Linked DNA regions of Callithrix jacchus. The protein of the gene in region 3 purifies or fractionates together with the protein of the main gene of each other region. This does not show direct contact. Links are inferred from orthologs where the notes say so. Each region holds a gene or a part of one and is shown on either strand. Other genes may lie near its edges. The genes, in order: DDX23, ZNHIT2, TSSC4, ECD, EAPP, AAR2 and PRPF6.

What was found.
Region 1: the proteins of TSSC4 (region 3) and DDX23 purify together in Homo sapiens (affinity purification with mass spectrometry; 3 studies listed by BioGRID and IntAct, with this or other methods). This does not show direct contact. The link is inferred for Callithrix jacchus from reciprocal best matches to the Homo sapiens genes TSSC4 and DDX23.
Region 2: the proteins of TSSC4 (region 3) and ZNHIT2 purify together in Homo sapiens (affinity purification with mass spectrometry; 3 studies listed by BioGRID and IntAct, counting the BioPlex papers as one, with this or other methods). This does not show direct contact. The link is inferred for Callithrix jacchus from reciprocal best matches to the Homo sapiens genes TSSC4 and ZNHIT2.
Region 4: the proteins of TSSC4 (region 3) and ECD purify together in Homo sapiens (affinity purification with mass spectrometry; 3 studies listed by BioGRID and IntAct, counting the BioPlex papers as one, with this or other methods). This does not show direct contact. The link is inferred for Callithrix jacchus from reciprocal best matches to the Homo sapiens genes TSSC4 and ECD.
Region 5: the proteins of TSSC4 (region 3) and EAPP purify together in Homo sapiens (affinity purification with mass spectrometry; 3 studies listed by BioGRID and IntAct, counting the BioPlex papers as one, with this or other methods). This does not show direct contact. The link is inferred for Callithrix jacchus from reciprocal best matches to the Homo sapiens genes TSSC4 and EAPP.
Region 6: the proteins of TSSC4 (region 3) and AAR2 purify together in Homo sapiens (affinity purification with mass spectrometry; 3 studies listed by BioGRID and IntAct, counting the BioPlex papers as one, with this or other methods). This does not show direct contact. The link is inferred for Callithrix jacchus from reciprocal best matches to the Homo sapiens genes TSSC4 and AAR2.
Region 7: the proteins of TSSC4 (region 3) and PRPF6 purify together in Homo sapiens (affinity purification with mass spectrometry; 3 studies listed by BioGRID and IntAct, counting the BioPlex papers as one, with this or other methods). This does not show direct contact. The link is inferred for Callithrix jacchus from reciprocal best matches to the Homo sapiens genes TSSC4 and PRPF6.

Annotation. Positions count from the first base shown.
Region 1 is NC_133510.1:70,732,011-70,735,510, forward strand, and holds part of DDX23 (putative ATP-dependent RNA helicase DDX23), read left to right. Parts: intron 1-896; coding exon 897-1,035; intron 1,036-1,313; coding exon 1,314-1,447; intron 1,448-1,579; coding exon 1,580-1,692; intron 1,693-1,926; coding exon 1,927-2,070; intron 2,071-2,167; coding exon 2,168-2,393; intron 2,394-2,685; coding exon 2,686-2,831; intron 2,832-3,500. UniProt on the Homo sapiens protein: Involved in pre-mRNA splicing and its phosphorylated form (by SRPK2) is required for spliceosomal B complex formation.
Region 2 is NC_133511.1:122,197,078-122,200,300, reverse strand, and holds ZNHIT2 (zinc finger HIT domain-containing protein 2), read left to right. Parts: upstream 1-1,338; 5' UTR 1,339-1,472; coding exon 1,473-2,684; 3' UTR 2,685-2,723; downstream 2,724-3,223. Other genes in the region: delta(14)-sterol reductase TM7SF2, read right to left, coding at 3,082-3,223. UniProt on the Homo sapiens protein: May act as a bridging factor mediating the interaction between the R2TP/Prefoldin-like (R2TP/PFDL) complex and U5 small nuclear ribonucleoprotein (U5 snRNP).
Region 3 is NC_133511.1:129,467,956-129,472,255, reverse strand, and holds TSSC4 (U5 small nuclear ribonucleoprotein TSSC4), read left to right. Parts: upstream 1-1,500; 5' UTR 1,501-1,685; exon of another isoform or gene 1,686-2,691; 5' UTR 2,692-2,825; exon of another isoform or gene 2,826-2,976; 5' UTR 2,977-2,999; coding exon 3,000-4,013; 3' UTR 4,014-4,212; downstream 4,213-4,300. UniProt on the Homo sapiens protein: Protein associated with the U5 snRNP, during its maturation and its post-splicing recycling and which is required for spliceosomal tri-snRNP complex assembly in the nucleus.
Region 4 is NC_133513.1:56,997,084-57,000,583, reverse strand, and holds part of ECD (protein ecdysoneless homolog), read right to left. Parts: intron 1,640-3,500; coding exon 1,533-1,639; intron 1,398-1,532; coding exon 1,211-1,397; intron 281-1,210; coding exon 213-280; intron 1-212. UniProt on the Homo sapiens protein: Regulator of p53/TP53 stability and function. Inhibits MDM2-mediated degradation of p53/TP53 possibly by cooperating in part with TXNIP. May be involved transcriptional regulation. In vitro has intrinsic transactivation activity enhanced by EP300.
Region 5 is NC_133509.1:69,044,596-69,048,593, reverse strand, and holds the start of EAPP (E2F-associated phosphoprotein), read left to right. Parts: upstream 1-1,198; 5' UTR 1,199-1,270; coding exon 1,271-1,344; intron 1,345-3,998. UniProt on the Homo sapiens protein: May play an important role in the fine-tuning of both major E2F1 activities, the regulation of the cell-cycle and the induction of apoptosis. Promotes S-phase entry, and inhibits p14(ARP) expression.
Region 6 is NC_133506.1:3,058,581-3,062,756, reverse strand, and holds the start of AAR2 (protein AAR2 homolog), read left to right. Parts: upstream 1-1,376; 5' UTR 1,377-1,402; intron 1,403-4,176. UniProt on the Homo sapiens protein: Component of the U5 snRNP complex that is required for spliceosome assembly and for pre-mRNA splicing.
Region 7 is NC_133506.1:59,454,445-59,458,537, forward strand, and holds the start of PRPF6 (pre-mRNA-processing factor 6), read left to right. Parts: upstream 1-1,293; 5' UTR 1,294-1,402; coding exon 1,403-1,473; exon of another isoform or gene 1,474-1,528; intron 1,529-3,147; coding exon 3,148-3,316; intron 3,317-4,093. UniProt on the Homo sapiens protein: Involved in pre-mRNA splicing as component of the U4/U6-U5 tri-snRNP complex, one of the building blocks of the spliceosome.

The DNA.
Region 1 (3,500 bases), on a different chromosome or scaffold from region 3:
AGTACTGGGATTACAGGTGTGAGCCATTGTGCCCAGCTTAATGGTCTCATTTTGACTTAATCACCTCTTTACATGCCCTGTCTCCACATACAGTCACATTGTGAGGTACTGGGGGTTAGAGCTTCCACATATGAATTTTGAACTGGGTACAGTGGCTCACACCTGTAATCCCAATACTTTGGAAGTCCAAGATGGGAGGATCACTTGAGTCAGGGATTTCGAGACCAGCGTGGGTAACATGCTGAAAAGCCATCTCTATAAAATATAAAAAATTAGCCGGTTGTGGTATCATGCGTGTGTAGTCCCAGCTACTCAGGAGGCTGAGGCTGCAGTGAGCCTTGATGACACCACTGTACTGCAACTTGGGCAACAGAGCAAGAGACTGTCTCAAAAAATACATATAACACATGAATTTTTTTTTTTTAAAGAGATAAGGTCTTGTTGTTTTGCCCAGGCTGGAGTACAGTGGTACAGTCACAGCTCACTATAACCTCAAACTCCTGGGCTCATATGATTTTCCAGCCTTAGCCTGCTGAGTAGCTGGGACTACATGCACATGCCACCATATCTGCTGAGTTTGTTTATTTTTGTAGAAATAAGGTCTTGCTATGTTGCCCAGGCTGGTCTTGAACTCCTTGCCTCAAGCAGTCCTCCCATCTGGTCCTCCCAAAGCACTGGGATTATAGGCATGTGCCACTGCTTCCAGTCTAAAAAAACACATGAAATCCATAGGGGACATATTTCAGTCCGTAACAGGATCCAAGGCCTATTTGTATTTTCCTCAACAGGCTTAATGCCTGAGCAAATATTTTTGGGTTCCCTGCCATCTCCCCATCAGTGATGTGGTTATACTCTGCTCCCAGATCCTTTGTTTACAGTTCCAATCTGTTTTGTAGCCCAAGTTCCTCTCCAAAGCAGAACGAGAGGCTGAAGCTCTAAAGCGACGGCAGCAGGAGGTGGAAGAGCGGCAGAAGATGCTTGAAGAAGAGAGGAAGAAAAGGAAACAGTTCCAAGACTTGGGCAGGAAGATGTTGGGTTCGTTATTCTACTCTGTGTAGCCCCTAGATGGGAGAGGAAAGAGATGAGATAGTGTTTCTCAGGAGAGATAGAAACCTGTTCACTCTGAAGTTTGGAAAAGGGAAAGATGGTGGGAGTTGATGAGAAAACATTTTTCTGTTAGATCTCCGTTTACCCTGTATCATAAGTCTATCCCTTTTTTTCTTCATTTGGTGTTCCTCATCTGGATTCCCTCCATTCCCTCTCCTCTTTTCTTCCATGAGCTCTTCTGCAGCTTTGCTTTCTTTGGTCTGCAGAAGATCCTCAGGAACGGGAACGTCGGGAACGCAGGGAGAGGATGGAGCGGGAGACCAATGGAAATGAGGATGAGGAAGGGCGGCAGAAGATCCGGGAAGAGAAGGATAAGAGCAAGGAACTGCATGCCATTAAGGTGCAGGCCTTGGCTCCATCTTCACTTCTCTCCCATACACAAAAATGAGGTTTAGTTATTTGGCCATTGTGATCTCTGCATGTGAGACTTGAGCCTCGAGGCTTATGTGCTTTGTGTTCTTTCCCTGGGCAGGAGCGTTACCTGGGTGGCATCAAAAAGCGGCGCCGAACGAGACATCTCAATGACCGAAAGTTTGTTTTTGAGTGGGATGCATCTGAAGACACATCCATCGACTACAATCCCCTGTGAGTGGCTTCGGGCCTGAGTTCTAGGTCTTTTCCACTGGGCAGTCCTAGAGAGCTGATGACTGGAGTAAGTAAGATAAGCTGGGGTGGAAAATTGGTAGACTAGTAGTCAGCCAACCCTCTGGTGGAAAGAAGACCCTGTCCAGGAAGAACTGTTTCATATTGGCAATCTGTCCTTCCCTCCTACTGCCGTAGCAGCTCCTTCTCTTTTTTCTTCCTTTGTCTCAATCCCAGGTACAAAGAACGGCACCAGGTGCAGTTACTGGGGCGAGGCTTCATTGCAGGCATTGACCTCAAGCAGCAGAAACGAGAGCAGTCACGTTTCTATGGAGACCTAATGGAGAAGAGACGAACCCTGGAAGAAAAGGAGCAGGAGGAGTGAGTGATCAAGGCTAGGGTGGCTGGACAGAGCCCAGTCTCTACAGAAAGGAGTTGGAGGGCACTGATCCTACTTACTCCTCACATCCTGCTCCAGGGCAAGACTCCGAAAACTTCGTAAGAAGGAAGCCAAGCAGCGCTGGGATGATCGTCATTGGTCTCAGAAAAAATTAGATGAGATGACGGACAGGGACTGGCGGATCTTCCGTGAGGACTACAGCATCACCACCAAAGGCGGCAAGATCCCCAATCCCATCCGATCTTGGAAAGACTCTTCTCTTCCCCCACACATTTTGGAGGTCATTGATAAGTGTGGCTACAAGGTAAGGAGGGGCAGATTGGCCCAAGAGATCTGACATGTTCCTAGTTTGGGAATACAGAACTTTATTCCTTGACTATTTGGGACCATTGCTGCTAGTGGGCATCAACCTTTTCTATCAGTTTCTAGTAGAAGTGTTGGCTTTTAGTGATTATGTTTCTTCTTGGGGTCCCCATTTCTGTGGACTGTACTTGGCATCCTTCCATTGTGCTAGGAGATGTGCTTTCTACTATCAATGGTAGCCCAGGTTGTATAATTCTGCCTGTACCTATTACTCTTTCTTGGGGTCACTGCAGGAACCAACACCTATCCAGCGTCAGGCAATTCCCATTGGGCTACAGAATCGTGACATCATTGGTGTGGCTGAGACTGGCAGCGGCAAGACAGCAGCCTTCCTCATCCCACTGCTGGTGTGGATCACCACACTTCCCAAAATTGACAGGTGAGGTCAGCTGGCACCAGCTGGAGTGGGTTTTTCTGGGTAGGAAAGATGAAAGTGGCAAATGAATGTTTGGTTTTTGTTTTACACCTATAATCAGAAGCTTGCTTCTTTATTCTGGGTTGAATATTAGGGAATAATTGGATTGTGGTATCATAGAACTATATGTTGCTGGCAAAGACCTGGAGAACTTTGCTATCCTGGAGTCTCTGATTTTTATTTATTTTATTTTATTTTTTGCTGGCAAAGACCTGGAGAACTTTGCTATTCTGGAGTCTCTGGTTTTTATTTTTTAATTTATTTTATTTAATTTATTTATTTTTTGAGATGGAGTCTCGTTTTGTCACCCAGGCTAGAGTGTAGTGGTGGGATCTCGGCTCACTGTAGCCTCTATCTCCAGCTTCAAGTGATTCTCCTGCCTAGCCTCCCAAGTAGCTGGTGTTACAGGTGCTGACCACCACGCCTAGCTAATTTTTGTATTTTTAGTAGACACACGGTTTCACCATGTTGGCCAGGCTGGTCTCAAACTCCTGACCTCAAGTGATCTGCCCACTTTGGCCTCCCAAAGTGCTGGGATTACAGGCTTGAGCCACTTTGCCCAGACCCAGCCTCTGATGTTGAAGTGAGATCATTGCGTTCTTTTCTTATCACCCTCCCCATTTCCATCACTCC
Region 2 (3,223 bases), about 7.3 Mb from region 3:
GATGGATGTGATCTGATTTCTCTGGCAGGTTTTTCTGGAGGGTGGCAAGAAAGGAAAAACAATGTATTGTCATCCAGGTGAAGGGCAGGAAGCTTAGACCACCAGTAGTAGTGGGAATGCAAAGAATACGTTCACAGTTTGGTTTGTCACAACCCCATTCCGCCACAAGACAGCTCTATTAGGACAGGGACCCCCCTCCCCCCCCGCGCCCCACTCCCTTTTATCTGTGTTGTGTTCTTGGCACCTACAATGGGGCCTGCACTTAATAAAGATGGATGAATAGTAGTATTTAATGAAAAGGTGGGTTTGGAGGAAAATAGGAGCTCAGATTTTTTTTTTTTTTTTTTTTTGAGACGGAGTTTCGCTCTCCTTACCCAGGCTGGAGTGCAATGGCGCCATCTCGGCTCACCGCAACCTCCGCCTTCTGGGTTCAGGCAATTCTCCTGCCTCAGCCTCCTGAGTAACTGGGATTACAGGCCCACACCACCGTGCTCAGCTAATTTTTTGTATTTTTAGTAGAGACGGGGTTTCATCATGTTGACCAGGATGGTCTCGATCTCTTGACCTCGTGATCCACCCTCCTCGGCCTCCCAAAGTGCTGGGATTACAGGCGTGAGCCACCAAGCCCGGCCGGATATTTCTTAAATACTGTTTTCTGCGGAACAGGGGAAACACACCGAGGCTATGTAGGCTAGGCGGACCCAAATGCCTTTTTTTTTTTTTTTTTGAGGAGTTTCTCTCACTGGCCCAGGCTCCCAGGCTGGAGTGCGGTGCCACGATCTTGGCTCACTGCAACCTCAGCCTCCTGAGTAGCTGAGACTACAGGCACCCGTCCCCACGCCCAGCTAATATTTGTACTTTTAGTAAAGACGGGGTTTCTTCATGTTAGTCGGGCTGGTCTCAAACTCCTGACCTCTGGTGATATGCCTGCCTTGGCCTCCCAAAGTGCTGGGATTACAGGCATGAGCGCCCGGCTCCAACTGCCCTTTTATCTGTGTCCCCTAGTGGAATGGCTGCTTCTCCAGCGCAGGGTTGCATCACCTCCCGTAGGCTTGACACAATTAGTGGCCCACGGTAGATGCTTCGCAAATACGGATTTCTGCCACAGCGCATTATAGTGCTAAAAAGAGGGTTTTCTGTTTAGACTATCGGACTACGTTTTGGTGTAACCACTAGGGGGCGACGTGGCACGGGCGGACCGCTGGTCAGACCCATTTTTCCGCTCCTTGCGTCATCGTACAGGGCGGGGCTCGTACCTGACTCCCGTTTTCTGGGCCCGCCCCCGCCCTGCTTGGGAAAGGGGTGGGGTTCGGCTTCCGGGCGTGGGCGGAAATTGCCGAGAATCCTTGGGAGCTTTGCGAGACCAACGCGCGCCGTCGGCCCCGCGGTGGACCGGAAGTAATCAGAGAAGTCTCGGAAGTTTCGAACTAACGCCGACTTGCATTCGCAGGTAGGTCGTGGCGCCAGTTTCCATGGAGCCGGCCGGGCCCTGTGACTTCTGCCCGGCGGGGGAGGGCCAACCCGCGCGTTACACCTGCCCTCGCTGTAATGCGCCGTACTGCTCGCTGCGCTGCTATCGGGCGCATGGCACCTGCGCAGAAAACTTCTACCGTGACCAGGTGCTGGGAGAGCTCCGCGGCCGCAGCGCCTCGCCCAGCCGCCTAGCGAGCGCCCTACGCCGGCTGCGTCAGCAACGCGAAACCGAGGACGAGCCTGGGGAAGCAGGCCTCAGCCCCGGCGCGGCGCTCGGCGGCCTCTCGGGACTCTGGGAGCGGCTGGCACCGGCCGAAAAAGCAGCCTTCGAGCGGCTGCTGAGCCGCGGTGAGGCCGGGCGGCTGCTGCCTCCATGGCGGCCCTGGTGGTGGAACCGCGAATCCGTAACGTCGCTCCTAGAGGAGCTGGATGATGCCCCGGGCAGTGATGCCGCGGGGTTGGAGCCCGCCCCTGCGAGGACCCCGCAGGAATCCGTGAAAGTTGCCTCCGCCGCGGAGCCTGTGGCCGCCGGGCGGGTTCTTGGACATGCTCCAGGGACCTTTATGCCCGCCGTGCCCACCCGCATCCCCGCGCTCGTCAGCTTGAGCCGCGGCCCAGTCTCGCCGCTTGTGCGATTCCAGCTGCCCAACGTGCTGTTCGCCTACGCGCACACTCTTGCCCTGTATCACGGTGGTGACGACGCACTGCTCTCTGACTTCTGTGCCACACTGCTCGGCGTTTCCGGAGCACTGGGTGCCCAGCAAGTCTTCACTTCTGCGGAAGAAGCCCTGCAGGCCGCAGCCCACGTGCTGGAAGCTGGCGAGCACCCGCCTGGGCCTCTGGGCACTCGAGGGGCTATGCACGAAGTTGCTCGCATCCTGCTGGGCGAGGGCCTGGCCAACCAGAAAGGCTACACGCTGGCAGCACTGGGACACCTGGCACAGACCCTGGGCCGTGCCCGGAAACAGGCTGTGGCTAGAGAAGAGCGAGATCACCTTTACCGGGCCCGGAAGAAGTGCCAGTTCCTCCTGGCCTGGACCAACGAAAATGAGGCTGCCCTCACACCGCTGGCTCTAGGCTGCGCCAGGGTTCATCGAGCCCATGCTGTGGCAGCGCAGGAGGTGGCTGCCCTCACTGGGGAGCTGGAGCGACTTTGGGGCGGCTCCGTGCCACCTGCCCCAAGGACTCTCATCGAGGAGCTTCCTGGCTGAACTGAGGACCCTTGTCAATAATAAAGCTGTGACTGGTCAGCCCTGTTGACAGTGCCTGTTTCCGAGGGACAGCTGTTGACCCACTGGGCCCACCAGCCATTCATTGCTCAGTTTCTCCCTGATCAGTGCTGACCCAGCCAGTCCTAAATACCCTAGCCCCAGAATGGCAGAGAAGTGCACCAAGGGTTCCCAGTGTTTATCCAAAGGAGGAAGACCATCTCTGATTTTGGTCACTTGTTTCATTTTTTCCTCGCTCTAAACTGCCTCTTCTCTGAGGCTGTTCATCCTCAGGGCTGGGTGGGGTGCAAGCCCCTGAGTCCTGAGTGTGCCCTGTCTCCTGGTCCTGGGTGTGCTGGATGAGTGGGCACATGCCCCGACCTGGGGTGGTGGAGCCGCTTCAGTAGATGTAGGGCATGATGCGGTAAGGCACACGCCGGCAGTATTCCTGCCAGGCCAGGCCGTACTTCTGCAGGCACTGCCGCTCATCCCGGGCCTCACGGTGCACCAGCAGCGCGGTGAAGTAAAGGAGGTAGAAGTAG
Region 3 (4,300 bases):
CCAATGGGCTTGGTCTAGGCTCTCCTATCTTCCCTCACACCGTGGACCCTGGGGTGGTGCTTGCTGTCGCTCCGGCTGCTTTTCCCTAGTTGGGGAGATGAAGCTGCTGGCACATTGACCCCTGGAGGAAAGGAGTGACTGGGAATTTATGTCTAGGGCTCCCAGCAGCCTCTCTGCAAGCCAATTTGGAAACTGCCCCCGGCCCTGCATTTTGGGGGGTTACGGAGTCTCTCAGCAGGCCCTCTCCTGCTGCTCCCAAATTCCAAGGCTGCACTGCTTGGGAGCACAGGACGGTGCAAGGAGCCCCCTCTCCACTTCCCGCTGTGTCCTCCGTGGGCGGGGAATGACATCCCAAAGGCCGCAGCAGGTCCTTGAGTCCTGTTTCCCGGCGGATGCCAGGACAGCAGGCCCTGGGAAGGGAGTTGTCTCCAGCCTTGACACGGCCCAGCGGTGTAGCCGCCGAGGGGAACTCAGCTCCCCGCAGTGTGCGGGGCACAGGGCGCCAACCAACCAGGGCCCGTGGCCCAGGGACACGCGGCTTGTCGGGGGGAGAACCTGGGCCCTCGCTCTCCCTTTCAGGGCGGGCACCGTGGACAGGCGAGGCCAGGCTGCCGGCTCCCAGGCATGGCGGAGGCCACACCGCTCCGGCTGCCGCCCACCCAGCCACGCTTGAGGAGCGTTCAGCGGCCTCCACCCCGCCCGGGAGGACGGGGGACCGGGGACCTGGAAGGGCCTGGCCCTGGCTTCCCTGCAGCGCCCTCGGAGGCCGGACCAATGTGCCAGAGCTGAGGGCCCAGGGCTGCGCGGGCGGCCCGGCAGCGTCCCCAAGGGCGACGCCCCACAAGTTTGCCTCCAGGGCCCAGCCAACCCCTAGGGGTGGGAAAGCGTCGGCCCAGCCAGAGGATCCAGCAGGGCCGCCCCCTTCACCCGTGGCCCACAGGTCAAGACTCCGCGTCCTCATCTCGGGCTGGGACCGCCTTTGCGTCCGCCCTGAGCGGGACCGTGGGATCCTGGGGAGCCCCGCCTCAGTGCTCCGAAGCCCCGGAAGAGCTACAGCTGCCGCTTCCGGTCATGACCGGAAGTGTCCGAACGGCATTCGCCCTCCCTATGAAATGACGCACTTCCTGCCTGAGGCGGCCGCTGTTCTCACGGTTTCCAGCAGGTGGCGCTGGGACCACGGAAAGCCGGCGCGGCGGTCGGTTAGCCCTCGAGCATTCTGGGAATTGCAGGCGTGGCCCCTCCTTTTCCTGTTCTCCTTGGTCAGTTCCGGTCTTGTTTCGCCAACAAATGCCGCGGTTCCGGGGCTGTTTCCGAGCCGGACGCCAGGGCCGCGGTGTCCTGGAGTAGAGAGGCGGACGCATGCGCACAAGACTACACGTCCCGACAGGCGTCGGGAGCGGCGGCCCAGTGCCTTGTGGGAGGTGTAGTTTTGCGGGCGTGGAAGCCGCGGCGCTCGGCCGGATGAACACTCGGTTTCCCAGAGGGCTGAGCGCGTTGCATGGGCGGGCGGAGCCGACCAAGATGGAGACGGCCGTGCCGCCTTGAGCTGGTAGGTTTGTGTTGAGGAACGACGGGCCGCGTGAGCCGGGTGAGCCTCCGGGAGGTCACCGAGCGCAGCTGAAGCCCCGCTGTGCTCACCGACCCCCGTACCCCGCGGCCGAGCCCTTGGGACCCACAGCATCCTCGTGAGTGTCCAGCCCGACTTCGCACCGAGAGCCGACTTGGCACAGAGAGTTTGTTCCCTGGCGGGGAGGTCTTGCTGGCGCATAGAGAGGAGAAAGGCCAGGCCCTGCCTTCATGTGGGCAAAGGGACGGTTTCCTTCAGCCTCCGTCCCTGCCGGCTCTAAAACGGACATCAGTGGGGGGTTCCGGGTAGCCCCTTTCATTTACGGGGTGGCTTCTTCACGGAGGAGAGTCACGCCGCAGAGGAATTGAAGTGCTGCCTCTGTTTGACCTGGTGGGGGGCACTAGGAGCCCCTTCTGGTACCCCTGACCCCATCCTTGTTGGGAGCACGGGACACATGTCACCCTGGCGGGCAAGGAGTCAGTGGATGGATGAGGGCAGTGCAGAAGGGTGAGGCCGGGCCGTCCTCTCCACTGGCAATGCCAGCTCCGAGGCACCCAGTCACTCCACCACTAAATGGGTGCGGGAGGCCGCTTGGCTGCCCCGCTGGAAAGGCGGTGTGTGTGTTGAGTGTTACACGGGGAAGGCCACTAGAGGTCGCTCCAGGAGCTACGCGGCTTTGCCTCTGCCTGTGAGGGCTGCTCGAGGTGATTGATGGGCTGACACCCCACTTTGTGCGATGCCAGGGCCTTGGCTGCAGATGTCTTGGGAGCTCCCGGGGCTCTCCCAGCAGATAGGAGCAAACCTTTTCCCCGATGACCAGGAAGGTGCCTGCTCTTGCTCACCCCCCAACAGCAAGCAGCTTATAAGTAGCTCTCCTGCCTGATCTCGGCCCTGGGTTCCAGCCCTGGGCGGCTGCTTACTACCAGAATCGCTTCGTAGTTCCAAGCCTGCCTGCAGAGGGTTGACGCGATTAAATTAAGTCACGACTCAGAAGTCCCTACCCTGGGTTCTGGCCTGTCAGGGACTCCAAAACCCGGGCTCAGGTCGGTCCTGCCTCCCACCTCTTTCACACATTTGCGCTCCGGTCTGAGGATGGTCCTCTCCCCCACCCCTCCCACCTGCAGTCGAGCAGCTGAACAGACGCATGCCAGGGGCACTCCGAGGCCTGAGACAACCATACCTGTGCCACTGAGGACCTTCATCAAGGTTCCGCCCACCTGGCTGTGCAGCCACACTCCAGTGTCAGCAGCCAAGGGAGGTGAGAGGAGGGCTGGGAGGGGGAGAGGGGCCTCCACCCTGTGTGGGACAGGTCTGCCGGCTGACCCTCCTTGTCCAGGGGCGGTTGATCTGCAGGAGACTCATTCTTAACACTGTTCCTGAAACGAATCTCCTGGGCTGTTTTGGTCTAGGTGTGACGTGGTCCTGGGAACGCATGGCTGAGGCAGGGACAGAGGAGCCGTCCCCCAGCGTGGAGGGGGAGCATGAGACGGAGTATGACACGCTGCCTTCCGACACGGTCTCCCTCAGTGACTCGGACTCTGACCTCAGCTTGCCTGGCGATGCTGAAGTAGAAGCGCTGTCCCCAGGGGGGCTGCCTGGGGAGGAGGATTCAGGCCCCGATGAGCCGCCCTCACCCCCCTCAGGCCTCCTCCTCCCATCTGCGGTGCAGCCGTTCCATTTGAGAGGCATGAGCTCCACCTTCTCCCAGCGCAGCCGTGACATCTTTGACTTCCTGGAGGGGGCAGCCAGGCGGGCCCCACCCCCTGTGGCCCACAGCAGCAGAAGTGACAATGGAGGCTTCAAGCGGCCCCTGGCACCCTCAGGCCAGCCTCCAGTGGAAGGGCTGGGCAGGGCCCATTGGAGCCCAGCCTCCCCCAAGGCGCCTCCAGTCCCCGACTACGTGGCACACCCCGAGCGCTGGACCAAGTACAGCCTGGAAGATGTGACCGAGGTCAGCGAGCAGAGCAATCAGGCCACCGCCCTGGCCTTCCTGGGCTCCCAGAGCGTGGCTGCCCCTACTGACTGCGTGCCCTCCTTCAACCAGGACCCCTCCAGCTGTGGGGAAGGGAGGGTCGTCTTCACCAAACCAGCCCGAGGGGTTGAGGCCAGACACGAGAGGAAGAGGGTTCTGGGTAAAGTGGGAGAGCCAGGCAGGGGCAGCCTTGGGATCCGTGCCCCAGATAGGGGCGAGGGCCCAGTGGAGCTGGCCCATCTGGCCAGGCCCGGTAGCCCAGAGGCTGAGGAGTGGGGCAGCCCCCACGGGGGCCTGCAGGAGGTGGAGGCACCGACAGGGCCTGTCCACGGTGGGCCTATGCCAGGCCTCCCACTGGTGGAGACGGTTGGCTTCCACAGTAGCAGGAAGCGGAGTCGAGACCACTTCCGGAACAAGGGCAGCAGCTCCAAGGGCCCAGGCGCTGAGGTCTCAGAGGGAGACGGGGCCGCCTGACCACACTGGCCACTGCCGTCCTGCTGCCTTCCCAGGAGGTCTGGCCAAGGGGCAGCTAGAGTGGGAGGGAGCCTGCATGCTGCCTGTAGGTGGCACCGGTGGCCCTGGGTGTCATCCTCCCAACAGACCTGGCTGAGGCTCCTGGGGTGGGCTGGAAGCATTGGCTACCTGGTGGGGACAATAAAGGTTTTGGGACTTCCTCAGGCTTCGTGTATATCTGGGCCCTGCTCACCCCTGTCGGCTACGAGGGGTCCCGCTTGGCTGCTTCCAGCCTCACCGCCAGGCCA
Region 4 (3,500 bases), on a different chromosome or scaffold from region 3:
CTCTCAAATATTTAATGAGCAGCTACTACATATGTCAAGCACTGAGCTAGGCAAAATTGTTGACGGGTAGTAGTTCATGGTTGAAAGCAATTCAAAACCAGGAAGAGAAAGCAAATATTTTGGCTTCTGAAATATCTAATAACCCAATGCTCTAGCAACAGCCATGCTACTTACAGTTTTAAAATGGAAGGGAACATCACACCATTACTTACCTAAAATCTTATCAAAATAATTAAGAAAAGAATCTGCATCAAAAGTGATTGGAGCCTCAGAAGGTTCTCTGCAATATTAAAGGACAAAGACAATTAATTTATTCTAAATATAACCGTTTGAAACTTTTCTAAAGTGGTACCATTCTTAAGAAAGCTACCAAAGATAGAATTTCTAAGGAGGCACAGCAAGAAAAATTGTAGTTGAAGTCTTAAAAATCCGTGAGCTTACTGGCCTTGCAGGACAACAGAAATGGGAAAGTCTGATAAATGAAAAGTAAAAACTGCATCTTGTTTATGTACATTTAACTTATGCTAATTTAGGGACCTACCCACTCTCTAGCCCCAGTAAGATATCTAGCATTAGTAAAAGCATTATTTATTTGAGTTAATTTAAATAAAGCCTATTTTTTTAAGAACTAAAGCTTAAAAAATAAACAAGAACATATCTTCCCTTATCCCTCCCTTATTAAAGACAGAATACCAAACATAAATTTAGATCTTTCACCAGCTTCAAGAGCACCAACACTAAAAATGATATATTTGATACATAAGTAACAATTCTATCTACCTGTTTTTCTTGTTACCTGCCAAATGTAATTTCACATTTCTGTTATTATTTCTGCCTCTGATGAATCCCTTTGAGTTTTCAGTATCCAATCTGCTTGTAGGGTGGGAGATCAGAAGTCTGAACTTGTCGAAAGCTAAATGTTGAGCCCATAAGGCTATTAAAGAGTAAAATACATGGTTTCCCTGTGTGGTTCTAGATGATGGTTTTTAGATCTGTTGGGTGATCTTTCTGGCTTATTTCAAGGATTGCAAAGGATGAGGCTTCTAGAAATCTGATTTCAGATAAGTAAGTTGTCACTATACTAGGTACAAAAAAGAAAGAAAGCAGTACAACTCATTTACTTAAAAAAAAAAAGTAGAAATGGCAATGGCCAATGATTTCAACATTTGGGTTCTAACTATTTATATATTTATACTTTTATGCAAATTACCTAGGCAGCTCTGCTCCCTTGTGGGTTGAGACTTTGGATATGAAAGATTTCATGCTCTCTGAGACTTGAGTTAAGTTATAGTTCTGCTCCTTCTCCTCCTTGGAAATAGACTCTGATTCTTTTCTGCCAGCAGCTTCCTGTAGCAACTGCTCCAGCTGATCTGCTGAGAGATCTAACCACTGGTCATCTGAAAAAGAAGAAAGCATAATATTGCCATTCTACATTCACATGATAAGTCCTTTCAGGAGAGGATCCTGTGAGACTTAGTAGAAGATTTTAATTTCTTTTTAACCCTTCCACTGTATCCCAGTCCATCACTTACCATCCTCTGGGGGAAGATTAGCTGATTCTTTCTTAAGGTCTTCTATATCAAATGGCATTGTCTGTAATAAGGTTAAGATTTCTTCACCTGGGCTCATAGCAAGAGAACTATAAAAAATGAAAACCATGAATATTTCTTCATAAAAGAACTTAGAATAGTAATCATAAATACATAGTCTTTTAAAGTTGGAACCTCTACGAAATTGTTTTTATACATATTATAATTACTTTATAGGGATTAACCAGTCTAATTTGGGGAGTTCTTGGTTTGTTTTTGCTCTTTTTTTTAAGAGATGGGGTTTCACTGTTGCCCAGACTGAACTCAAACTCCTGGGTTCAAGTGATCCCCCACTTCAACCTCCCAGGTAGCTGGCACTATAAGTACATGCCAAAATACCTGGCTCTAATTTGTTTTTAAGCATATTTTTAGGTTGCAGATCCCCTTTTCTCAAATAAAACTTTTTTTTAAATTTTATTTTTATTTATTTATTTTTTAAAATTTTCTTCTTGAATTATCAAGTAAAAAACCTTTTTTTTTTGGGGGGCAAATCACTTGAGGTCAGGAGTTCGAGATGAGCCTGCCCAACATGATGAAACCCCATCAAATAAAACTTTTACCAGTAACTCTAAAATACAGAAGGGCTCAAAGAAAAATGGCTTTGATTAAAGTGGAGGATAGGCCAGGCATGGTGGCTCATTCCTGTAATCCCAGCACTTTGGGAAGCCGAGGCAGGCAGATTACTTGTGGTCAGGAGTTCACTTGGCCAACATGGTGAAACCTTGTCTCTACTAAAAATACAAAAATTAGCTGGGCATGGGGGCATGTGCCTGTAATCCCCTACTCGGGAGGCTGAGGCAGGAGAATCGCTTGAACCTGGGAGGCAGAGGTTGCAGTGAGCCAGTACTGCACCACTGCACTCTAGCATGGGTGACAGAACAAGACTCTGTCTCAAAAAATAAATACATTAATTAAATTAAAGTGGAAGATAGAGGCAAAGAGATCTAGCCAATTTGCTTCCCCTTTGGCTCTGAAGCAGAGTAGGGTGGCTTACGCCTATAATCCCAACACTTTGGGGGACCACATTAGGTCAATTACTTGAGTTCGGGAGCTGGACAACCTAGTGAGACCCTGTCTCAACAAACAAACAAACAAACAAAATTAGCTAGGCATGGTAGCACATGTGTGTGGTCCAAGCTACTTAGAAGGGTGAGGCAGAAACCCATCAAATAAGGAAAAAGCAAATATGCAGAAATATAATAAACATATTGTTCAGTCAGTTTTACTTAGTACGACTTGAAAGGCCTTCTAAGTCCTTACAAAATAGATTTGATACACTGAAAAACACTGAGCTAAACAGCATTCCCAGAACATGCCATAATTTAATTAACCACTTCTCTACATATGAACATTTGTTTGAATTTGTTGATATAACAATGTTGCAGGCCAGGCATTGTGGCTCACCCCTGTAATCCCAACACTTTGGGAGGCTGAGGCAGGCAGATCATCTGAGGTCAGGAGTTCGAGACCAGTCCGGCCAATATGGTGAAACCCTGTCTCTACTAAAAATATAAAAATTAGCTGGGCATGGTAGTGGGTGCCTATAATCCCAGGTATACTTGGGAGGCTGAGGCAGGAGAATCGCTTGAACCCAGGAGCCAGAGGTTCCAGTGAGCTGAGATCGCACCATTACCTCCAGTCTGGGTGTCTAGAGACTCCATTAAAAAAAAAAAAAAAATATATATATATATATATATATATATTTATAAAATAAACATCTTTATGCATTTAAAAAAAATCCTCATTCTTTTAAGTCGTAATGCAAATACCTCCTCCCTGAACCTTTCCATTATCTTTCTTTTTTTAGCTTCTCTGCTTCTACCCTAGTGAAATTACCTTCTCACTATTGACTCTCTTTAGCATTTGATATTTCAGAATGATTTTTATCTTGCCTTTTGTTATGATTATTTG
Region 5 (3,998 bases), on a different chromosome or scaffold from region 3:
CACAGGACACAACTATTACGGGGTTCCCCTCCGCCCCCCACCCCGGTTAAACATGAAGCTCTAAGATCTCCCCAAGCAACTTGACAGGACATCGTTTTCCCCGAGCATCTTCTTTTTTATTTATAAAAGTAAAAAAATAAAGAGAGATAGGATCCTGCTTTGTTGTCCAGGCTGGCCTCGAACTCCTGGGCTCGTACAGTCTTCTCACTCTGGCCCCCTAAAGTGCTGGGATTACAGGGGTAAGCCACCGCAGCCAACCTCAGTCTTCTTGTGATCCGTAATGTGACAACCAATACAGCTACTTAGTGGTTGATGGCTGGACAGTGTATACAGCGTGGACAGTTACTTAAGTAATTATCTATTAAGAAACACATGTGGCTGGGCATAGTGGCTCTCACCTATAATTCCAACACCTTGGGAGAACGAGGCAGGAGGATCACTGGAGTCCAGGAGTTTGCAACATAGTGAGATACTTGTTTCTACAAAAAATTAAAACAAAAAACAACCACATTTGATAATAAATTTAAAGTCTTCAAAAGTGACTATTTTAGCACTGCCCATCCATAGTAAATAGTTTGTAAGACACAATTTGACATGAAAAAATGTGTGTATAAGCACCTCAGAATTCAAAGTTAAAGGGGTATAGATAATTTGATAAAAATTATTAGCATCAGTGATGAGGTGGGAATTTTGTGTATAATATCCAATTCAGAAATTAAAATTGAATTCGGGTTATGTGATCCACTAATTTTTCAGTGGTTTTTAGATATTTGTGTTAACGTTTTTATTATTATTTTATTTTTACGGGGGAGGGCAAGACAGGGTGATGGGAGGGCGGGGTCGTGTTAACATTTTTTCTTTAAAAGGTCTTACTCTGTTGTCCAGGCAAGAGTATACAATGGCAATCACAGCTCACTGCACCTTTGAACTACTGGGCTCAAGCAATTCTCCTGCGTCAGCCTCCCTGCCCAGCTAATGTTTTAAACTTTTGTAGACATAGAGTGTCATTTTGTTGCCTAGGGTTGTCTTGAACTCCTGGCCTCAAGTGATTTTCCTACGTTGGTCTCCCAAAGTGTTGGTATCACAGGCATGAGCCCCACCTCTCCCCCACCTTTTACCTGACCCGTCGCTTCCGTCGTCTGCGCAGGCGCGCAAGGGGGACTCGGAAGTGCAGGCGGAAGTAGCGTCGGGACGCTTTAGGGACGGAACTTGCAGAGTAAACAGAGACGGTGCAGATCGCAGTGGACGGTGTAGGACGCTGCAGGCCACCATGAGCCGGCTGCCGAATGACTACGACCCCTACGCGATTGAAGAGCCTAGTGACGAGGAGCCGGCTTTGAGCAGGTGGGCCCTGCCTTATCCTGGCACCCGAGGCTTCGGGCGGAGGCCTGGCTTGGTCGCCTCCACTCGTTGCGCCTGCCAAGCCTATGCAGATGCGGCTCGGGAGCCTGTCGTACATCACTGTCATTTGTGCGAGGCCAAAGGGCTTTCCTGATGGGGTCGTGCAGCTACCGGGGAGGTGGGGCCGATTTTTCTGTAAAAGAGAGAGGTTACCGGAATCTCCGGACGTGTGTAAATCTTCAAAAGCAATGAGACTGAAACCTGCCTCTACTGCTTGGCAGCAGAGTGACTGAAGACAGGTCACTTATCTTATGTTACTTACCTGTAAAATGTAACTATAATAACCTATAGTTGTACAAGCTACATAACATAGTATAACACATGTAAATTTATTGAGAGGCTCATAGGAATTAATGTGAAGTACCCATCTTGACTAAACTGCCGTAAACAGAAATAAGGGAATATTGAACAGGACTTTTTTTTTTCCTACATGGGGGACTGCTTTATTTTGCTCCTAGCTACAGAGGTAAATCATAAGGTCCTTGTCTTCCAGAGCCTTAGTAGTATGATAAGGGTAATAAGATAAAGTAGGTATCTTGAAGAGCATTGTAGAAAATATTGACCTGAGACAGGCACAGATGAAAGTTCGTGGGATTTCTAGAAGGGTGTGATTTATTCTACAGGGAAACTTGAAGCTATGTTGCTAAGAGATTTCTACACCAATTTAGTTATTTCTTTTCTTTCTTCTTCTTTTTTTTTGAAAGTCTCACTCTGTCACCCATGCTGGAGTGTAGTGGCGAGATCACGGCTCACTACAGCCTTCCCCTCCTGGGTTCAAGCAATTCTCCTGCCTCAGCCTCCTGAGTAGCTAGGATTACAGGCATGCACCACCACCCCTGGCTAACTTTTGTATTTTTAGTAGAGATGGGTTTTCACCATGTTGGTCAGGGGGTGTTAAACTCTAGACCTCCTGATCTGCTTGCCTTGGCCTCCCACAGTGCTGGAATTACAGGTGTGAACCACTGTGCCTGGCCTAGTTATTTCTCTTTTTTTGAAATGGAGTCTGCTCTGTTGCCCAAGCTGGAGTGCAGTAGCACAATCTCAGCTCACTGCAACCTCCGCCTCCTGGGTTCAAGTGATTCCCTGTCTCAGCCTCCTAAGTAGCTAGGATTACAGGTGTGCACCACCATACCTGGCTAATTTCTGTATTTAGTAGAGATGGGGGTGTCTCCATTTTGGTCAGTCTGGTCTTGAACTCCTGACCTCGTGATCCGCCCACCTTGGCCTCCCAAAGCACTGGGATTATAGGCTTGAGCTACCGCCTGGCCCTAGTTATTTCTTAAGCTGTCAGCAGATTCTATTTTTTTCTTGAGACAAAGTTTCACTCTTGTTGCCCAGGCTGGAGTGCAGTGGTGTGTTCTGGGCTCACCGAAACATCTGCCTCCTGGGTTCAAGTGATGATCCTACCTCAGCCTCCTGAGTAGCTGGTATTACAGGCATGTGCCACCATGCCCAGCTAATTTTGTATTTTTTTTTTTGAGATGGAGTTTCGCTGTTGTTACCCAGGCTGGAATGCAATGGCGCAATCTTGGCTCACCGCAGCCTCCACCTCCGAAGTTCAAGCAATTCTCCTACCTCAGCCTCCTGAGTAGCTGGGACTACAGGCGTGCACCACCATACCCAGCTAATTTTTGTATTTTATTTATTAATTTATTTATTTTTTGAGACGGAGTTTCGCTGTTGTTACCCAGACTGGAGTGCAGTGGCACAATCTTGGCTTACCGCAACCTCCGCCTTCTGGGTTCAAGCAATTCTCCTGCCTCAGCCTTCCCAGTGGCTGGGACTACAGGCACGCACCACCATGCCCAGCTAATTTTTGTATTTTTAGTAGAGACGGGGCTTCACCTCGTTGACCAGGATGGTCCTGATCTCGACCTCGTGATCCACCTGCCTCGGCCTCCCAAAGTGCTGGGATTACAGAAGTGAGCCACCGCGCCCGGCTAATTTTTGTATTTCTAGTAGTGATGGGGTTTCACCATGTTGACCAGGATGGTCTCGATCTCTTGACCTCATGATCCACCCGCCTCGGCCTCCCAAAGTGCTGGGATTATAGGCGTGAGCCACCATGCCCGGCCCCTAATTTTTTATTTTTAGTAAAGACAGAGTTTCTCCATGTTGGTCAGGCTGATGTCGAACTCTAGACCTCAGGTGATCTGCCTGCCTTAGCCTCCCAGTGTGTTGGGATTGTAGGAATGAGCCACTGTGCCTGGCCAGATCCTAGTCTTAAAGCTTAAAACATTCATTCTGTTCAAAGAAGCTTTCTGTGAAGCCATGCTTTCATTAACAACTTTGGCCAGGTGTGGTGTCCCATGCCTGTAGTCCCAGGACTTTGGGAGGCTGAGGTGGGAGAATCTCTTGAGCCTAGTAGTAAAGGAACAGCCTGGGCAACATAGTGAGATCTTACTTCTTAAAAAAAAAAAAAAAAAAATTAAAAGAACAATGTTTCCTCATATTGTCGTGGGAGACATTGGATACATAGGAAATCAGACTGCTGTTAAGATTTCTTTGGTGAGGAGTGAGGATGTATACCAGGATTCCCTGTGAAAAAGAGTCTCAGGTATGGGTCCTGTCTGTGAAAGGATACACACACACACACA
Region 6 (4,176 bases), on a different chromosome or scaffold from region 3:
ACTGGGAGTTGGGGATGGGTGAAGAGGGAGCTGAGCTTCTTCATGCAGGAAATGAAACTTGACAGGACAGGCTGAGATTGATAAGCATGACTGTGACTGATGAAGGCTGTCTCTGGTTAATCCTGCAGCAGCTCATTGTGATTAACCATGACTGCAGGGCCCTGTCTAGTCTGCAACCCACTAAGAGATAAATTTTGACCGAGACAGATTGGCGTGTCCAGCTGTCACTGAGGAAATGTGACAGACAAGCTAAGGAGCAGCAGCACAGAGATAAGAACATACAGGCCTTGGTTTGCATTCTAGCTCTGCCATTTTCTGGCTGGGTAACATCATCTGTTTGAACCTCAGTTTTCTCTTCTGCAAACTGGGAATATACATACCTACTTACTAGGCCAGTGTAAGGATTAGAAATACCCAAGTGGCCTGCCCTAAAATCACATAAGCCAATTCTTTTTTTTTTTTTTTTTTTTTTTCCCAGACGGCATCTTGCTCTGTCACCAGGCTGGAGTGCAGTCATGCAATCTCGGCTCATTGCTATCTCTGCCTCCTGGGTTCAAGTGATTCTCCTGCCTCAGCCTCCCTGGTAGCTGGGATTACAGGCACACACCACCACACCCAGCTAATTTTTGTATTTTTAGTAGATACGGGGTTTCACCATGCTGGCCAGGCTGGTCTCAAACTCCTGACCTCATGATCACCTTGCCTTGGCATCCCGATGTCCCGGGATTACGGGCGTGAGCCACCGCATCTGGCTTCACCTAAGCCAATTCTTTGCAATAAATCACTTAACACAGATCTCCTACTGGCTCTGCGTCTTTGGTGGAGCCCTGATTAATAGTGCAGAGTTAAACTCGCAGTACCGTCATCGCTCAAGACAGGCAGGTTCTTTCCAGGCGTTGACAGCCTGACTGACATGTCGGACTTGGCCCGCAGAAAGGACACGGGGGGATCGTGGGCATAGGGACTGAGGGAGCGGCTGCTGGTTCTCTGGGCCGGTGGCTGGGTCTCTCTCTGAGGGCTGACTGTGACTGGAAGCTGAGACGCTGTGACCGGGATAGACACTGGCTGCCAGAGACTGTGACCGAGCGCCTGGCTGGCTGCTACCGGATAACCATGGCCCTGGCGGTGCTTTAGTGACCGTGACGGCTTGAGCCCAAAGGAAGATGTCTGGGGGCTGTGCTTCTGGATGGGGATATAAAACGCGTAGCTTAGTCCAAGTTGTTCACAATTAACGAGACACTAATAACAAAAGGCAACACTGGATCCGCCGGAACCTGCCGGCACGGGCCGTTCTTCCCGCGACCCAGGGCTCCGCCGGACCGCTCTCTTGGTTGCTCCAGTCCGGCGCCAAACCGGAGAACTTCCGGTGCGTTTCCGCGGTTTCGGAACGCGGGGCGAGGCGGTGAGTGTGGTCTCCTGGCCTCTGTTTCCTCTCCTGATTCTGTGTGTGTGTGTGTGGGGGTGTGTGTGTGCGTGTGTGGTGTGTGTGTGGGGTGTCTGTGTGGGGTGTGTGTGTGTGGGGGGGTGTGTGTGTGCGTGTGTGGTGTGTGTGTGGGGTGTCTGTGTGGGGGGGGTGTGTGTGTGGGTGTGTGTGTGGGGTGTGCGGGGGGTGTGTGGGTGTGTGTGGGGTGTGTGGTGTGTGTGTGGGGTGTGTGTGTGGTGTGTGTGTGTGTGTGGGGTGTGTGTGTGGGTGTGTGGGTGTGGGGGGGGTGTGTGGTGTGTGTGTGGGGTGTGTGTGTGGTGTGTGTGTGTGTGCAGGGTGTGTGTGTGTGTGGTGTGGGTGTGGGGTGTGTGTGGGGGGTGTGTGTGTGGTGTGTGTGTGTGCGGGGGTGTGTGTGTGTGGTGTGTGTGTGGGTGTGTGGTGTGTGTGTGGGTGTGGGGTGTGTGTGTGGGGGTGTGTGTGTGGGGGGGTGTGTGTGTGTGCGGGGTGTGTGTGTGTGTGGTGTGTGTGTGGGTGTGGGGTGTGTGTGTGTGTGCGGGGTGTGTGTGTGTGTGGTGTGTGTGTGGGTGTGGGGGGTGTGTGTGTGTGGGTGTGTGTGTGTGGGGGGTGTGTGTGGGGGGTGTGTGTGTGGGGGGGGTGTGTGTGCGGGGGGTGTGTGTGGGTGTGGGGTGTGTGTGGGGGGTGTGTGTGGGGGGTGTGTGTGGGTGTGTGTGTGTGTGTGTGTGTTTGTGTGTGTGGCGTGTGTGTGTGTGGCCGGGCCGCCCCTCTTCTCGGCTTGGAATCGCGGAGTGCCTTGAACTAGGCCCACCTCGTCAGGGGGGCCGTAGACCCTTCCTGCACTGAACCTGGCTCTGCCCTACTGTCCGCGTGACTTCCAGTGAGGTCTTTTCCCGAACTGAGCCTTTGTTTCTCGTTTACAAAATGGATATCATACTTGTATTAACTAAATATTTACTAAGCGTCTCATGTGTGCTAGGAATACAGCAGGACTCAGTCTTGTGACGGTGACAGGCCTCAATCAAACATGCAAAGCTCCAGTGGTGATAATTGAAACGAAGGGTACAAGGCACCCGAGAGTGTGTCACAGGAGACCTGATCTAACCCCGGGTCAAGGAACCTTTACTGAGGAGGTGAATAGTGAGCTGAGATCAGAATAAAGATTTGACAAAATGGAGAGGGAAGAGTTTTCTATCTGGAGAGAGAGAGCCTCCAATTTCAGGGTCCGAAAGGGGAACAGAGCTTGTTGGGGACCATGGTGTGAAACAAGCTAAAAGGGTTCCCAGAGGTCAGACCATACAGACTTCATGGGTCATAGGAAGAATTTTGGTTTTCCGAGAACGATATGGGAAACCACTCAGAGGCTGACATGGGTGGTGATGTGATTAGATTGGCATTTTGAAACGGATACTGCTGTTGAATGGAGAATGGATTGAGGAGCAGGCACTCTCTGAGTGAGGGACAATGGTAGCTTGGATTAGGGAGGTGGTGGAGAGACGGGGATGGATGTGATTTTAGGTGTTCCAGGACTGTGAGGAACTCACAGAGCCGCCAGTGACAGGGGTTGGTAGACCGCAGAGTTCTGTGCATATTTAATAAACCTTTTCCTAGCATCTCCTCTGTGCCAGGCCATGTACCAGCTGCTGGAGATATAGTGAATAGAATTACAGGCTGGTGGAATTAGAATGAAAGAAATGTCATTATCAAGGAGGAGCACACAGATGTCACAAGGGAAAATGGCTAATTGATGAGAAGTTACTCTAAATGGAATCTCTGTTCATTCAGCAAGTATTAAGTACTTTCTGAATTCAGAATTACAAATAGAAAGTGATACAAATTATTTAGAGCAGTGTCTTTCAAACTTTTATGACTGTGACCTACAGTAACACATACATTTTATGACACAACCAAGTGTACATACAAACACACAAAGCTCCAGAAAACAGTACTTAGCTTTACTACTTATGATGTATTGTGATGTTCAAAAGTTCTGTTCTTTTCATTTAAAAAGTAATGCCGGTTGAGACCTTTACATGGATTTCCTAATTCACTGATAGTTTGTGACTTGCAGTTTGGGGGAAAAAATGTTGATTCAGGGTAAGAGTCATTTGTAGTAGTTTTGGGGTAATGATAAAATGTACTTATTTTTGGAACAGGATTGGTTTTCCTTTCCACACTTTTTATTTATTTATTCATTTAAAGTAAAAAAAGTAAACAGGGCTGGGCATGGTGGCTCACACCCGTAATCTCAGCACTTTGGAGGCTGAGGCGGGTGGATCACTTGAGAACAAGCATTCGAGACCAGCCTGGGCAACATGGTGAAACCCTGTCTCTACTAAAAATACAAAAGTTAGCCAGGTGTGGTGGTGCACACCAGTAGTCTCAGCTACTCGGAGGCTGAGACATGAGAATTATTTGAACCTAGGAGGTGGAGCATGTAGTAAGCCAAGATTGTGCCATTACACTCCAGCCTGGGTGATGGAGCCAGACCCTGTCTCAAAAAAAAAAAAAGAGCAAATAAAATTAAATAGGTCAACAGGCAGCAGGTTTTCTGTGTGAAATTTTGGCATCTTGTTTGTACATCTGGCTAGATTGGTGCCTAGAGGGCAGGGACTGTCTTAATCTCTGATGTTTCTTTGGGGGCTTGGCAAAGTGCAGGTACTCAGTGAGTATTTGTTAGATTAATCAGGTAGGTATTTTAGGACTGGAAGATTAGATAATGGTTTGTTTACATTTGT
Region 7 (4,093 bases), on a different chromosome or scaffold from region 3:
GGGTCCTCTGAGGTCCGGCCCCTCCGTGCGTAGGGATGGGCTGACGGGCATCTTGCGGGGCCTTCTACCCACAGCCAGGAGAAGGGGCAGATCAGCCCCTCCCACATACTGCCCTCGGCCTCCTGCCTCTTTACTCTCCCTGGAATGGGCACCCGCTTCCCGGGGAAACCAGCTTGACTCTTGCTTACCGCCCACCCCACTGTGAACATTAGGGTTACTCTTCCTTCCCTCTGCAGCCCCAGAACCTGGCTCAGTGCCCGGGGGGCGGTGCAGTCCTCTGTAACTGAAAGGGGCTTGGCTGGAGATGGGACAGAGAGGAACTCCAAGGAGGCTGTAGCAGGCTGGAGCGATGTGTTTGCTCCAGGACTCCAGTGAGAAATGCTGGGCTGGGCTGTGATTGGCTTGCTCTGCCCAGGAGCCTAGGTGCTCTCCCTGGGTGTATGCAGGGGATCTGGAGGATGTCTTACAGCAGAAGGAGCAGAAATGCGTGCACAGAGTAGAGTCATGCACGTGTACCCAAAACGAGCACACGTGACCTCAATGTGCACACACCCCACTAATTCACACACACAGAATTCACCCACATGCTTGACAGCCATGTTTATGTACTGACGTGTTCCTGACAGGTCCGCTGTGGTGATTTCGTCAGTTAGCTCTCCGGGAGCTGAGAATGCGGCCCTCACCAGAATGTCCAAGGCATATTGGGGGCCGTGGGTGGGGTCTCTAATCCCGCTGGAGGCACAGATGCCTGAATGGGAGCCCAAAAATGTGAATGCTAAAAGCACAATGTTGCGGGGGTGCCCCTACGTAAAAGCATAGGGCAGCAGCGTGCGCACAGGACGCCCACAGGCAGGTGTGCCCACAGACAGGTGTGCCCATAACCAGTACGCACAAGCTCTACACAACTGCACGGGGTGCGCTCCACTCGAAAGTGATCAGGGCCCGCCAAGGGCGAGGGCGGGAAGCTGGGCTGGTTCAGAGGGAGGGGGCCGAGGGCCCTACTGGCAGACAGGTCTCCTTGGGAATGCATCAGAGCACTGGGGAAGCAGCGATGCCCGAGGCTCAGCTTTTGGGGCCGTCCCCGGAGCCCGTTAGGGTCCCAGTGCAAGCTCGGCCTCGTTCCTCCTGCCCCGCCACGAGGAGGCGCTCCAGCTCACGCGCCTGCCATGTCCCCGCCCCCTAGCCGCGGCCGGAAGTCGTCAGGAGCGCGTCGGGGCTTCCGCCCGGGGAGTCAAAAGTGGGCGGGCTTTGTGCGGACCGAGCGCTCTGCTTCCGGGGCGCCAGTGACGCGCCAACCGCGACCTCCTCCTACCGAGCGCCTCGGACGTCGGAGCTCGGAGTGTCTGCGTCTTTCTCTCTTCCGCGGCTTCATTCCTTCCTAGCCTTGGTCATCGTCGCCGCCATGAACAAGAAGAAGAAGCCGTTCCTGGGGATGCCCGCGCCGCTCGGCTACGTGCCGGGGCTGGGCCGGGGGTGAGGCCTGGGGCAAGACGTGGGGCGGCGACCCGGCTGGCGGAGCGCAGTGCAGGTGTTTGGGGGCGGGGGTCTTTGGCTGCGCGGTCTGAAAGACACTCGGGGGATCGGCTTAATCCCTGCAGGAAGCCGCGGGCTTTGGGTCAGGACAGACGTGTGTATGCAGCCTGCCTGCTGCATGGTTGTGACGCCCTGGCTGTCAGCCCCAGTGTAAGATGATGCTGTGTGCAGCCTGCAGTGAGGAGTAGTGGAAACGCGGCCGCCTTCCCAGGTCAGGCTGACACCCCCCTCGCCGCGCCTTAAGCGTGCCTGGGTCGGATAAGTGAGCAGTCATTGCTATCCTATCTGATCATTCATTTGATGAGGAAAACTACTGGGTTTTTCTTGGTGGTGATATACTAGAATCTGTGGGGCACACACAAGACTCGGATATTGACTGCGCCTTCAGAGGACCCGAAGCTCATGGAGGGTTTGGTGTTACCATAAATCAGTACGTAAGGAGGATCAGATTTAGAACCCAGTGCTTAATGGAGGGTGTCGTTGGGGCCAAGTTTAGTAGGAGAGCTGGACTTAGGGCTGCCGAAATATGGTAGCGATAGAAGAGAAACTGCCATTGTGTGTGTGGAGAGTTAGAAAAAAGTGAGGCCGCCGGACACGGTGGCTCACGCCTGTAATCCCAGCACTTTGGGAGGCCGAGGCAGGTGGATCGTGAGATCAAGAGATCGAGACCATCCTGGTCAACATGGTGAAACCCCGTTTCTACTAAAAATACAAAAAATTAGCTGGGCATGGTGGCGCGTGCCTGTAATCCCAGCTACTCAGGAGGCTGAGGCAGGAGAATTGCCTGAACCCAGGAGGCGGAGGTTGCGGTGAGCCGAGATCGCGCCATTGCACTCCAGCCTGGGTAACAAGAGCGAAAACTCTGTCTCAAAAAAAAAAAAAAAAGAAAGGAAAAAAGTGAGGCCAGGAGGAAGCCCGGGGAACAGGGGAGTCCAGTGTGAATAGGATGTGCAGCCAGTAGAACAGAGCTTAGGAGGTTGGAGTGGCCTTGAGCCACAGGCTAGAGCTCCTGGAGACGTCGGAAAGACCGTGACCCTTCAGAAGTTTTCAATCAGAGCTGTGTTTTGGGAAGAATCATCTTGCAGAAGATGGGTTGAAGTAGAGGAAGGCTAGAGGCAGGGAGGGCTAACTTGGTTTCCAGCTGTGGTGGGAGTCATAGTCTGGGGAGGAGAGATTTTGGAGGTGGATTCATTAGTACTTAGTGGCAGACAGGATGGAGAGAGTGGGAAAGGGAGGCAAATATTGTGTCATGGACCCACACCCATGGCATGTGGGTCAGCACGCTGAAACACCCCTGAGCAAGCTGTAAGGTGGGCCCAGAAGAGGAGCTCAGTTTGGGCCAAGTTGGGTTTAAGGGCCTGGCTGGATGTGGAGGGGGAGATGATCAAAGCCTTTGGGTGGAGGGATTGCCTTGGAAACGTCATCAGGGTGAGTTGAAACCTTCGGGTAAGTAGAGATCGGTGGTATTTGAGACTGCAGTTCATTGTCACCAGGATCTTTGGAGATTTCCCAGAGGTGTTAGAAATAGAGGTGATATTAAGTGATGACCAGGGGTGGAGAAGAGCCTGGGAACAGGCGCATTCAGATACTGGGTGTCTTGGGGGTCTCCTGCAGTGCCACCGGCTTCACCACACGGTCAGACATTGGGCCCGCCCGTGATGCAAATGATCCTGTGGATGATCGTCATGCGCCCCCAGGAAAGAGAACCGTTGGGGACCAGATGAAGAAAAACCAGGCTGCTGATGATGATGATGAGGACCTAAATGACACCAATTACGACGAGGTGGGATGTGTTGGGCTTCTGTGGCTCCTCCAGCCAGTCTCTGGGAGCAGCTGACCAGCTCCCTAACCAGTGGAGTGGCTCATGCATTTAAAATTTCAGCTATTCACGGGACATCTTTAGCAGAGTGAGAGGGAGCAGGAAAAATACGGAGGAATGTGCACTTTTTATCTCTTCAGAGAGATGTTCTTGCAGATATGAGGACCACTGCCCTGGTATTTTGTATTGGTCAGTCTTTTATCATAAAAACCGAAAGTATTTGGTTTTTTTAGCGTTAGTGGTTGCCCTCTAAAAAGACATCTAAAGGAAAACCTCAGCTGACTGAATACCGATTAACTGTCTTCTAACAGATCACATTTTTCCTCTGAGGAAAATTTTTAAAAATAATTTTAGTTTTGAAATAATTTTAAATTTGCAGGAACTTGCAACAGTAGTGCCAAAAAAAAGTTGAAAAAAGTTGGCCAGGCATGGTGGCTCACATCTGTAATCCCAGCACTTTGGAAAGCCGAGGTGGGCGGATTACAGGATCAGGAGATCGTGACTATCCTGGCCAACATGGTGAAACCCTGTTTCTACTAAAAATACAAAAATTAGTTGGTCATGATGGCACGTGCCTGTAAGCCCAGCTACTTGGGAGGCTGAGGCAGGAGAATCGCTTGAACAAGGAAGTCAGAGGTTGCAGTGAACAGAGATCACACCATTGCACTCCATCCTAGCCACAGAGTGAGACTCCCTCTCAGAAGAAAAAAAAAAGGTTTCTGTGTATCTTTCACCAAGCTT